Mus musculus: one gene and its partners. The protein of the gene in region 1 interacts with the protein of each later gene in a biochemical or structural test. Links are inferred from orthologs where the notes say so. Each region holds a gene or a part of one and is shown on either strand. Other genes may lie near its edges.

The links.
Region 2: the proteins of Bcl2 (region 1) and Fkbp8 form a complex in vitro, tested with the Homo sapiens proteins (4 studies listed by BioGRID, with this or other methods). The link is inferred for Mus musculus from reciprocal best matches to the Homo sapiens genes BCL2 and FKBP8.
Region 3: the proteins of Bcl2 (region 1) and Nr4a1 form a complex in vitro, tested with the Homo sapiens proteins (2 studies listed by BioGRID). The link is inferred for Mus musculus from reciprocal best matches to the Homo sapiens genes BCL2 and NR4A1.

Annotation. Positions count from the first base shown.
Region 1 is NC_000067.6:106,711,396-106,715,804, reverse strand, and holds the start of Bcl2 (apoptosis regulator Bcl-2), read left to right. Parts: upstream 1-1,514; 5' UTR 1,515-2,924; coding exon 2,925-3,500; coding exon of another isoform or gene 3,501-3,524; exon of another isoform or gene 3,525-3,640; intron 3,641-4,409. UniProt on the Homo sapiens protein: Suppresses apoptosis in a variety of cell systems including factor-dependent lymphohematopoietic and neural cells. Regulates cell death by controlling the mitochondrial membrane permeability. Appears to function in a feedback loop system with caspases.
Region 2 is NC_000074.6:70,526,323-70,530,681, reverse strand, and holds the start of Fkbp8 (peptidyl-prolyl cis-trans isomerase FKBP8), read right to left. Parts: upstream 2,940-4,359; 5' UTR 2,846-2,939; exon of another isoform or gene 1,416-2,845; intron 1,292-1,415; 5' UTR 1,269-1,291; coding exon 1,007-1,268; intron 1-1,006. UniProt on the Homo sapiens protein: Constitutively inactive PPiase, which becomes active when bound to calmodulin and calcium. Seems to act as a chaperone for BCL2, targets it to the mitochondria and modulates its phosphorylation state.
Region 3 is NC_000081.6:101,269,829-101,272,696, reverse strand, and holds part of Nr4a1 (nuclear receptor subfamily 4 group A member 1), read right to left. Parts: intron 2,615-2,868; coding exon of another isoform or gene 2,613-2,614; coding exon 1,728-2,612; intron 962-1,727; coding exon 832-961; intron 545-831; coding exon 393-544; intron 1-392. UniProt on the Homo sapiens protein: Orphan nuclear receptor. Binds the NGFI-B response element (NBRE) 5'-AAAGGTCA-3'. Binds 9-cis-retinoic acid outside of its ligand-binding (NR LBD) domain.

The DNA of each region.
Region 1 (4,409 bases):
ATTGTTTCTGTCTGGGTTCATACAAGTGACAGTGGCACTGTGTGTCTGTGGGTACATAGACACATTATCTGTATGGCTGCATCTTCTGAAGCCGTCTCAGGTTGCATGCTGGTCAGAGCTGAGGATATCCAAAACCGTACCTATGCCGTGTTAGGGTCATGGCCTTGAAAGGTGGCAGGTATCACTCCCTGAGGTCCAGCCCCAGCCCAGTGCTGGGAGCGTTAGGAGCAGAGGAAAAACTGTCCCTGAAACTCAAACTTCTGCTGTTCTCTTCTCCTCTCTTCACTGGCCCACTGCGAGTTAGGTCTGGCCTTGGTCACCAAGTTGGGTATGCCTGGATAGAGGCTAAAAGCGCCTGGGTGCTCATGTGGTATCTGCTTGGACACCTCCAAAGTAACTCCGCATACCACTTTGACTATTCTTTAACAAGCCAAGAGCATCAGCGACTGCCATCAGTCTGCCACTGTCTGACTAAGAAGAGATGAGGAAAGACCAGCCTCTGAGGCACATCCCTTGCTGGTTGTGGACATCACATCATGCTCTTCAGAGCAGAGGAGTACTCAGACCTGTTCTAAGTTACACAGCTTGTGGTGTCTGGACAAAAGGGCCTAGAAACAAGCATGCTAACGTTGTTATTCTAAGTATTTTCATTTGTAATTAATATCCTGGAGACTGTGTTGGGAGTTGCCTCTCTTCACCCAAGGGTAGCATATTGGTACTACTCACTACTTAGGAGTCAATATATGTCTCGGTAATCTCTCTGGCTGCTGAGAGCTGATAACATAGTGTTTGGGGGTTCACATGGTTAGCTGAGGGTCTGTTTGATTTTATACACTATATGTGGTTGTATACACTACACTGTTTAAAGGGTCCACATGATTGTAGATACACTGCACTACACACACACACACACACAGAGCGACTGTGTACACACTTTATGTGTGGTTAGAAAGGGTCCATTGGATTGTGCACATTCCATGCACGCGGTTAGAAAGGGTCCATGTGACCTGCACATGCTACATAGAAAAAGTCCATGCGGTCGTGCACACTGTACACGTTGAAAAAGATCCATGCAATTGTGCCCATCCTGTTAGAAAAGATCCAGGTGCCTCGCCACAGCCTGGCCCTGGCTATAGGCACGTCCAGCCAGCAGCCAGCCCCGCAGGCCCGAGGAGGCCCCTCACACGCCCACTGAGCCACTGCCGCCCGGGAGGCCCGCGCCACCCACGGTCCGGGGCCCAGCGTAGCCCGCGGGTGGCCGCCACCCAGGCCAGCGGCCGCGGCCGGGCGCGCGCTCCCCGGGGCGGCCGCGGCGCCTTTAACCCGGGCGGCTGGCGGGCGGCGGGAGGAGGCGGCGGGCGGGCGCTCAGAGGAGGGCTTTCTTTCTTCTTTTTTTTGAATGAACGGTGACGTACGTACAGGAAACCAGGCGCTCCGGCGGAGAATGAAGTAAGAGGCCGGGCCCCCCGCCCCGCGCCCGCCCCCTTCCTCCCCGGCCCGTCCTCCCGCCCCGCGTCCGGGTCCCCGCCGAGCCGCCGCCGCCAACACCGAGGTGCCCAGGCCCTCCCCAGCCGCAGCCGTCACCGTGGAACGGGCTGCGCGGCGCAAGCACGAGGAGGCGGCCGCCAGCGCCGCCCGCAGCGGAGGAGGAGAAAGGGTGCGCAGCCCGGAGGCGGGGTGCGCCGGTGGGGTGCAGCGGAAGAGGGGACCAGGGGGGGACTTCGTAGCAGTCATCCTTTTTAGGAAAAAGAGGGGGGGCAAACCCTCCCCCACCACCTCCTTCTCCCGCAGCGCACCACACACAGTGCGCGGGCTGCTCCTTGGGCACCCGCGGCCCCAGCGCGTCCGTGCCTGCATTTAGCAAGCTGCTTTTTTTCCCGTTTCGGAAAGCGCGTTGGCCCTTCGGAGTTTAATCAGAAGAGGATTCCGGTCCCGGTCCCCCAGCTCCTCCATCGTCCCCTTGGCGTGTCTCTCTGCCCTGGAGGTCTGAAGCGGTCCGGTGGATACGGATCCATGCCTGCGCTCCAGCGTGTGTGTGCAAGTGTAAATTGCCGAGAAGAAGGGAGAATCACAGGACTTCTGCAAATGCTGGACTGAAAAATTGTAATTCATCTGCCGCCGCCGCCGCTGCCTTTTTGCCCCGCTGCGGTGCTCTTGAGATCTCTGGTTGGGATTCCTACGGATTGACATTCTCAGTGAAGCCGGAGTGTGAGGACCCAATCTGGAAACCCTCCTGATTTTTCCTCCACCTAGCCCCCAGACCCCAACTCCCGATTCATTGCAAGTTGTAAAGAAGCTTATACAAGGAGACTTCTGAAGATCGATGGTGTGGTTGCCTTATGTATTTGTTTGGGTTTTACCAAAAAAGGGTAAACTTGACAGAAGATCATGCCGTCCTTAGAAAATACAGTAAGTTCTTTGCACAGGAATTTTGTTTAATATAACTTTCCATGGACGCGTTTGAAATATTTTTTTACTTCAAGTGCATTCAAGCAAATTTCATTTCCAGACAGTTTAATGCATTTTTAAACGTGTAACTTGTAGCGGATATACCTTTCTTACCCTAAATATATAAAGGAAAACACACCTGATTTTAACTTCCTAGGTCGTCCCGCCTCTTCACCTTTCAGCATTGCGGAGGAAGTAGACTGATATTAACAAAGCTTAATAAATAATGTACCTCATGAAATAAAAAGCAGAAAGGAATTTGAATAAAAATTTCCTGCATCTCATGCCAACGGGGAAACACCAGAATCAAGTGTTCGGTGTAACTAAAGACACCCCTTCATCCAAGAATGCAAAGCACATCCAATAAAAGAGCTGGATTATAACTATTCTTTTTTTTTTTTTTTTCTTTCGGGGCCGTGGGGCGGGAGTCGGGACTTGAAGTGCCATTGGTACCTGCAGCTTCTTTTCGGGGAAGGATGGCGCAAGCCGGGAGAACAGGGTATGATAACCGGGAGATCGTGATGAAGTACATACATTATAAGCTGTCACAGAGGGGCTACGAGTGGGATGCTGGAGATGCGGACGCGGCGCCCCTGGGGGCTGCCCCCACCCCTGGCATCTTCTCCTTCCAGCCTGAGAGCAACCCAATGCCCGCTGTGCACCGGGACATGGCTGCCAGGACGTCTCCTCTCAGGCCCCTCGTTGCCACCGCTGGGCCTGCGCTCAGCCCTGTGCCACCTGTGGTCCATCTGACCCTCCGCCGGGCTGGGGATGACTTCTCTCGTCGCTACCGTCGTGACTTCGCAGAGATGTCCAGTCAGCTGCACCTGACGCCCTTCACCGCGAGGGGACGCTTTGCCACGGTGGTGGAGGAACTCTTCAGGGATGGGGTGAACTGGGGGAGGATTGTGGCCTTCTTTGAGTTCGGTGGGGTCATGTGTGTGGAGAGCGTCAACAGGGAGATGTCACCCCTGGTGGACAACATCGCCCTGTGGATGACTGAGTACCTGAACCGGCATCTGCACACCTGGATCCAGGATAACGGAGGCTGGGTAGGTGCATGTCTGGTTGAATGAGTCTGGGCTTTGATCTCAAGGCCAAGATGCGCAGGTTGGGGTGTGAGTGGATTCTGGGTCAAAATGGGCCATTGAGCAGATGAAATAAAGTCGAGTTTGTAGCTTTGCTCCCCTGACCTCTCACTCTCTTCCTCTGGGTACATCACACCCTGCCAACACTGTGTTAACTCCTGCCCGCTGGCTGTGAGGGAGCAAGAATCCAGCATTTTTGATCCAGTAGGATCTGGAGATAATAGCATCCCTCCAGTAACTCTCAGAGTTAGTTCGTCTGAGTAGCTTGCTGCAGATGTTCTGGGTCCTGTGTAAGCACCAGACCTCCAACACTCCCTCTTGACCTATGCATCTTTAGCTCCTCTGGTGGACTAACAAACTTTAAAAGGTCCATCTAGACATGCAGGCTCCACCAGAGGACGCAGGCAAACCTTTTCTAACTCACTTGGGAACATTTTCCCAAAGAAAAACAACACGGCTCCTTTTCCTGGAAATCATAGCTAAGCTTGTAAAAAAAAAAAAAAAAAAAAAAAAAAAAAGGTAAGCTTAGGTAGGTATTCGTGGATGTTTGTGGAATCCAGTCTGTCTATGCCATAGTCCCCAGTGGGCATGGTGGGTGTGCACCCTAAACATGTCCGTCAACGAATATGCGATGATTTAGAAGTCTGCATCCACTGTATGTCTTACTTTTCTCTACCTGCATTCTACATAGTTTTGCGATCTCTACTGCTGAATGGACTTGCATCTAGGGTGCCTATGAAAGGGGTAATGGAGTCCACTTAGCTGTGGCGTCTCCAGCCCTGACAAGTTAAAATGATTCGTATCCACAACACTGGTGAGCATCTATGGGGTGATAGTTTTCTGGGATCTTGGGAGGTTCAGCTTCCATATTTT
Region 2 (4,359 bases), on another chromosome or scaffold:
AGCTGAATACACCTTTCACCTTGACACCCCTGCCCCCATGCCTAACCAACATGGTTGTTCTAGGCTTTTTTTTTTTTTTTTTAATTAAATGTGTTGTTTTTTTTTTTTTAAACTTCATGTCTATGTGCACTCTGCCTGCATGAGTGCAGTGCTGGCAGACCCCGAAGAGGGCGCCAGATTCTCTCAAACTGGAATTGCACACAGTTGTGAGCAGCCATGGGTGCTGGGGATTGAACCCACATCTTCTAGAAGAGCAAACACTAAGCCATCTCTCCAGCTCCTGCAGGTCAGGATTTAAAAAAACCCTTCCCAGAACCCCCAAGTGAGAGGTTGAGGGTGAGCCCCAGTGGTAGAGTCTCTGCCTGGCATACAGGGGCCCTGGCTTCCACTTCCTAGCTCCCTAGCACCACTCCAAAACAAGAAGAAGAAAAATTCCTGCTGGCACTATCCAAAGAAGGCTCTTTAGGAGAGAGAACAAATGCTGTAGAACTAGAGAAGGGGGAGCAGAATTAGACGCTCTGTCGGGCTGTGACTCTGCTTAGGGAAGATGTGTAGTGGGAGTTGTCTTAGAGCTGCTGGCACCCAGTGCAAAGGCTGTGTGGCTCCAGGAAGGTGACTCAGCCTCTCTGAGCTGCTGTTACCAGCACTGGAGATAAAAAGCAACCTGTTACGAATTGTGTGTGCATGCCAAGTATGAGCCAGCAAACAAAGTTCACAAATACACCGGCATCAAGCCATCTCAGAAGCCAACCACACAGCACAGGCCTGGGAGACCAGTGAGCCTGAGACTATGAGTCAGGAGAATTCAAAGTGCAGACCCAGCTTGGACTGGATCTTGAGTTCAAGGCCAGCCAGGATTTCACAGTAAGGTTATGTCAAAATAAACAAATAAAAACCAGCCATTAATGTCCTAATGTCACTCCCAACCCACACAGAAGGGGAAACTAAGCTCAAGAGACCAGAAGTCCTTGGGTCAAAGTGCCTCCAACCAACCCAGCACACTTACCCAGAATGTCCAGCCACTCTTCCGGGGCTGGGGCTGGGGCTGGCTCAGGCTCTGTGGCTGCCAGGAACTCCCGAGCCAGGGCTCCAGGCTGCTCAGCCTCCTCCACTGTAGGCTGTCCCATGTCCTCTAGTGGTGGCAGCCCACTTAGGTCATCTTCCTCCTCTGCATCATCAACCCCATCGAGCACCTCAAAGCCCTCCAGCAGTGGGGCCCCAGGAAGTCGCAGGGCAGCAGGCTCAGAGGGCTCAGCCCAAGACGCCATGCTGCTGGGATCAGGAACTGGCCCTAAGGGGACAGGCAAGTGTGACAGTGATAACCCCATCTAGGCAGCCCCTCCAACTCCCTCCAACTGCCATCCCTCATGTAGCTCCCTTTCATTCATCGTATATTCGCTGGGCATCCTACCAACCTGGCTTGTTGAAAGGAACACAGACCTCACACGCTGAGCCACAGACTGCAGCTGGGTTAGCTGTTATTATGGAATCTTTATAAGCACAGAAAGTAGGGAAACCCTAGCTTACACAGGAAAGATCCAACAAGCACAGAAAGACAAAGCCCAGCCAGGCATGGTGGCACACGCCTTTAATCCCAGCACTCAGGAGGCAGAGGCAGGTGGATTTCTGAGTTCAAGGTCTACAAAGTGAGTTCCAGGACAGCCAGGACTATACAGAGAAACCCTGTCTCGATAAACCACCAAAAAAAAAAAAAAAAAAAAGACAAAGCCACTTAGCCAAAGTCAGAAAACAAGCCAATTAACAAGAGGGTCAAGATCGAAAGTTATTGAGCTGAATGTCAAGAAAAGGGTGTTGGGGTAATTGAGGCAGTGGGGACTGTCACTGAGGCCTTGGGACAGCAATCTTTATAAGTTTTATAACTTATTCATTTGAAAAAGGTGAACTTTTAGTAGAGGTTCCTGACTCTGGCCACCTTCTCTGCTAAAGGATCCAGCAATAAAGGATTGGTGCTAGAAACTTAATGTCTCTTGCTGAATCTCCCAACAACAGAGACGATGGCTCCAACCTGCCTCTATCACCAAGTCTGCTTCCAGCTTTTAATCGTAGTAGGGCACTGGGGAGATAGCTCAGGCAACAGGGCACTTGTCTACCAAGCACAAGACCCGGGGTTCTAACCCCAACGCTGCAGAAACCATGTATCAGCAAATGCCTTTCATTCCAGCAATCGGGAGGTGGAGGAAGGATGACCAGGTATTCGAGGCCATGGAATTCATGAGTTACATGAAATCCTGACTCAAGAAATTGAAAGCATAAGCTAGGATTGTAATTCGTTGGAAGAGCGTTCTCCTAGCAAGCACGACGCTTTAGAATTAGCACCCCTGTAAACCAGGTGTGGCAAGGCACGCCTGTCATCCAGCTCTTCGGACAGGAAGGCCAGGAGTTCAAGGCCAGCCTGAGCTACACACCCACTTGAAGACTAGCTTAGAATACTGGAGACCCAGTCTCAAATTAAATAAAAGCGAAAGAGTAGTGGGAACACCAATATGGACTCTTGCACCATCTCGCTGGCCCCAGGCCTCTCTGCGGAGGCCCCCAACCCAGCTGTAGAACCCTACGTCCTATCAGGCCCTCTCCTTAAGCCCCAGGAAGCCCCGGAGCCCTGCGTCCCTGCCCTGCGACCCTCACCTGCGGGGCTCCTTCCGGGATCCGGCCCCGACCGGAGACCCTCCCGCCCCGAGCCCCCACAATGCCCCGCGCGCCCCGCACCCCAACGCCGCCCCGCGCCCGGTCGACACTACCGCCCCGGGAGGCCCAGCCTCCCGCAGCCTCGGGAGGCCTTGGCCCCGGGAGCCTCGGCCTCCTCGCTACGCCCCGTCACACGTGCCTGCGGCTCGGGGACCCCGCTCGGGGTCCTGTGCCCCCTCCCCGCCCCCAGCCGCGGCCGCCGCGCCTCGGGAAACAGCTTCAGATACGCAGCCCCGCCCCCGCGCACCCATTGGCTGTTCACACCGCGTCTGCCGTGTTTATTGGCTTGTGCACACGTCCGTCTCGCGCCCTCGACACCACCTCCTTCCTGGTAAGCTCCGCTGGCCGTTTCTTAAAGGGGCTCTAGCCTCTAGGTGGAGGGGCTGTTGGGAGTGGGAGATGGGAACGCACTGGGCGCACAGTGGGAGAGGATAGCAGCACGCCCTGATTTGAGTTCATGCTGGGGCAGGCTTCCTCCTGCTTACATACGAGGTAGAAATAAACAAGAAACACTGTAGCTCATGCGCGGTCATTTTCGGGGCTCTTTGGAAAACAATAATATTTCATAATTTTACTTAATACTTTATTTCATGTCCTCCTTCCCCTGCCCCTCTCTTTTCCTGGGGCGTGGTGAGCAAGCCTCTCTGTGTAGGCTTGGCTGTCCTGGACGCAGCACGTTTACCAGACCAGGCTGGCCTTAAACTCATGGAGATCATACTGCCTCTATCTGCTCCTGGGATTAAAGGTGTGTGCTACCACACCCGTCTCAACTATTTTATTATAGCATTCTCTTTTGTTTCATGTTTTATATTGTATTTTAGTTAGCCAGGGTCTGACCATGAAGCCCAAGCTGACAGCAAAGTGTTTAGCTTGCTTGTGAGGTTCTGGAGTCTTAAAGAATTATTGATTTAATTTTATTAGTACACTGTCACTGTCTTTAGACACACCAGAAGAGGGCATCAGATCCCATTACAGATGATTGTGAGCCACCATGTGGTTGCTGGGAATTGAATTTAAGGACCTCTGGAAGAGCAGTCAGTGCTCTAAACCACTGAGCCATCCATCTCTCCAGCCCCAAGGTTCTGGGGTCTTGTGTGACTGCTTACTAAGTTACCTTGAAGGTACAGACGGGGTCAGGAAGCCAGACAGGGTGCTTGCCTGTTGTCTCAGTACTTGACAAGTGGGGCACTGAGGATCAGAAGTTCACGACCCGGCTTGGCTACATTGCACTGTCTAAAAGAACAGTAGCTGAAAGCTGAAGGGCAGTCACCTGAGATACAAGGTTTTCAGTAACTGCCTGCTGTCCATGCAGACTCTGCCAGAAGGTGCTAAGGTGTCAGGGAGAAAGCAGGGCCTCTCATTTGAAGGACCTTATCTACTCTCCCGAGCTGTCACCTTTCAAGAATGATCCTGTAATTCTTTCACTTGATATCAAAGAAACCATGGGCTTGTTCCAGTTCTGAGGGCTTTGAACCTGGCTACATCTGAAACCCAGTGGGGTTTGTTTTTTGTTGTTGTTCTTTGGTTCTTGTAGTACTTGAAATTGGATCTGGGACCTTTGCACATGCTAGGCAGAAGCTCAGTTAAGCAGTGTAGACCTCAATATCTCTTTACATGCAAGGAAAACTATATATTATATATGGAATATATATA
Region 3 (2,868 bases), on another chromosome or scaffold:
TCCACATGAGGGCCTGCACCACACAGCTGTGTCACGCACTGGCTCCACAGCAAGGCCTGCATCACACAGCTGTGTCCTGCATTGGGTCCACAGCAAAGCCTACACAAGCTGCATTACAGAGCTCTCATGCACTGGGACACCAGATCCAGGCGTGCAAAAGAGCCCTATTCTGGGCCCATGTGCTTGTCAATTCCCACAGGAAAACAGGGCTACGGCAGCTGTTTGTAACTGGCTCCCCGACCCCACACCCATCCCAATGCATTTCTCCAACTAGCCAGTACATAGAGGATGCTTGTTTCCTGATGTTGCCCTGGAGGGAGAGCCTTTCCTAACAGGCACAAAGGCATTGCATATGTTCTCAGGGCAGGGCAGATGGGCGGGCAAGACCTCACCTTGGAATAGTCCAATTTGGCAGTGCTAGGCCCGGAGTCCAAGTGTGCCCGGATGAGGGAAGTGAGAAGATTGGTAGGGGAGGCATCTGGAGGCTGCTTGGGTTTTGAAGGTAGCCGGCCCCGCCGCCCTTTTAGGCTGTCTGTCCGTACAACTGCAGAGAGACGGGCAGTATTGAGAAAGGAGACCTGGAGAAGGAGGGTCTTCAGGGCACACTATACACCCCACTTCTGAGAAGTCAGAGACAGAGAACTCAGACCATGATGGGGACCCCACAAGGCCCTCCTCACCCCACCCTTTCCAGAAAGCAGGTGGAAGCTACACCTGCATTTAGGGGCTGGAATCTAGAAGTGGGAGTGGGAATTAGGTGCAGATCCTGGTGAGCCCGGCTGTCCCACCCCATCAGGTCGCCTATGCCGAGGGCACCATCTTGCCACCCACCTTCCTTCACCATGCCCACAGCCAGGCACTTCTGGAAGCGGCAGAACTGGCAGCGGTTCCGCCGCCTCTTGTCCACAGGGCAATCCTTGTTTGCCAGGCAGATGTACTTGGCGCTTTTCTGTACTGTGCGCTGGAGGAAGGGGGGACACGGAACAGGCTGTCAGAGCATGGGGTTTGGGGGGGGGGTGGAGAGCCCAGGGGAGGGGACCGTCCAGATCCTGTGGCCGACGCAGACAAAAGCGCCCTCTGTTCATAGCTATTTTCCTAACATTTGGATGTAGGGGAGGGAGAAACGGAGGGCCAGAGCGCAGAGAGGAGTCTGGGAGATACTGGAGAAGGTTTCAACCTCACAGGGAAGATCCCAGAACCCAAGACCAGGGTCTAGGAACTCCCACGGCCGTCCAGACACCTGTTCTAACAGGTGTCTGCATGTGTCCACCTGCCCTTTTCCTGGCGCAGAGGAGAGGACTAAGGGGGTGGAGGTGGGGGAAGCCAAGCAGGCACCCAGCACTGGGACAAACACACAGCCTGTTCCCAAGTCCACCCCCAGCAAGAACCAAACCCTCTGCCTGTGTCCTTTCATCCAGTGCCAGAAACACAAGTTCTGTGGAGAACCAGAGGCTGCCCACTAGGTTTTCTGTTTCTGAGCACCACTGCAGGCCACACACACACACACCTTCTGCCCCCTTCCCCAGCTTTCTGCAGCCCTAGAGAGATGTGTGCCCTGCTGAATAAAAAGTCCCAGCCTCTAAGATGGCACACACCTGTCCCCTGTCCTGCAGGACAGAACCAGCTGGGAAGAAACCTCAGGAGAGGTCACTACAGATCCCAACGGATGACCCACTCCACCCCCACCTCCAACATGATATCATCGTCCCCCAGAACCAACAAAATACCTTGAAGAAGCCCTTGCAGCCCTCACAGGTGCGGACCCCATAGTGCTGACACGAAGCATTGTCACCACAGACTGCACAGCGGCCCTCGCTGCCACCTGAAGCCCCGCTCCGGGACTTGGTGGAGGTCACGGGTGCGTCCAGAATGCCGGAAGTGTCACGGTTCGGAGAGGTGGGTGCCAAGCCGGGGAAAGCTGCTGGCATGGAATAGCTCTCCCCCTCCCCAAGCTGGTGGGTGGCTGGTGGTGGGAACAATTTCAGAGAACTCTGGGCCAGGCTGGGGCTGGGGCCAGTGGGAGGACTGAAGGAGAAGAAGGTTGGAGGTGGCGGAGGCCCTGAAGAAGCCTTAGGCAACTGCTCTGTCCATGCCCAGAGGCCTTCATAAGTCTGGCTCGGGGAGAAGTGGCCAAATGAGCCGTCCCAGGGAGAAAGCTGGGACGGCTGGAAGTTGGGTGTAGATGGCGAGGGGGCTGAGCAGGGACTGCCATAGTACTCAGAGCCGCTGGAGGATAGGGTCTCATCTAATGGGCCGCTCAGGGTGCCCGGGTAGCAGCCGTACACCTGGAAGTCCTCAAACTTGAAGGACGCCGAAGCGGGGGAGGTGGCCGAGGATGAGGAAGAAGACGTGGAGGAGGCAGAGGAACAAGCTGAGGAGCACGGCTGGGTCGTCCCCGGCAGCTGGTAGAGGAAGGTGTCAAACTCTCCGGTGTACCCGTCCATGAAGGTGCTGAAGCTGGGCAGTGTAGCAGGTGCGGCAGGTGCTGTCTCGGGGCTGGCCAGGTCCATGGTAGGCTTGCCGAACTCAAGGGCCAGGGGATCACCGGTCAGGTGGTCACGCGGTCCTGGGCTCGTTGCTGGTGTTCCATATTGAGCTTGAATACAGGGCATCTCTGGAGAGGGAGGAGACACAAAGGAGGGAGGAGGAGGGGTCAGTAAGGGAAGCAAGAAACTTGGTAGGCCGGGGAGGGGGGTGGGGGGAGCCAGGTGGCAGGCCTAGACAAGGAAGCGGGTGTCAGGACCAAAGAACAGAAGACTCCCAATCCCTCAGCCCAAATGCTATCTCAACGAGTCACAAAGCTCACAGGCAGAGACCAGGTCCAAAAGAGCTCAGTCCGACGACCAGCCACACCCCAGTGGGCCGGGG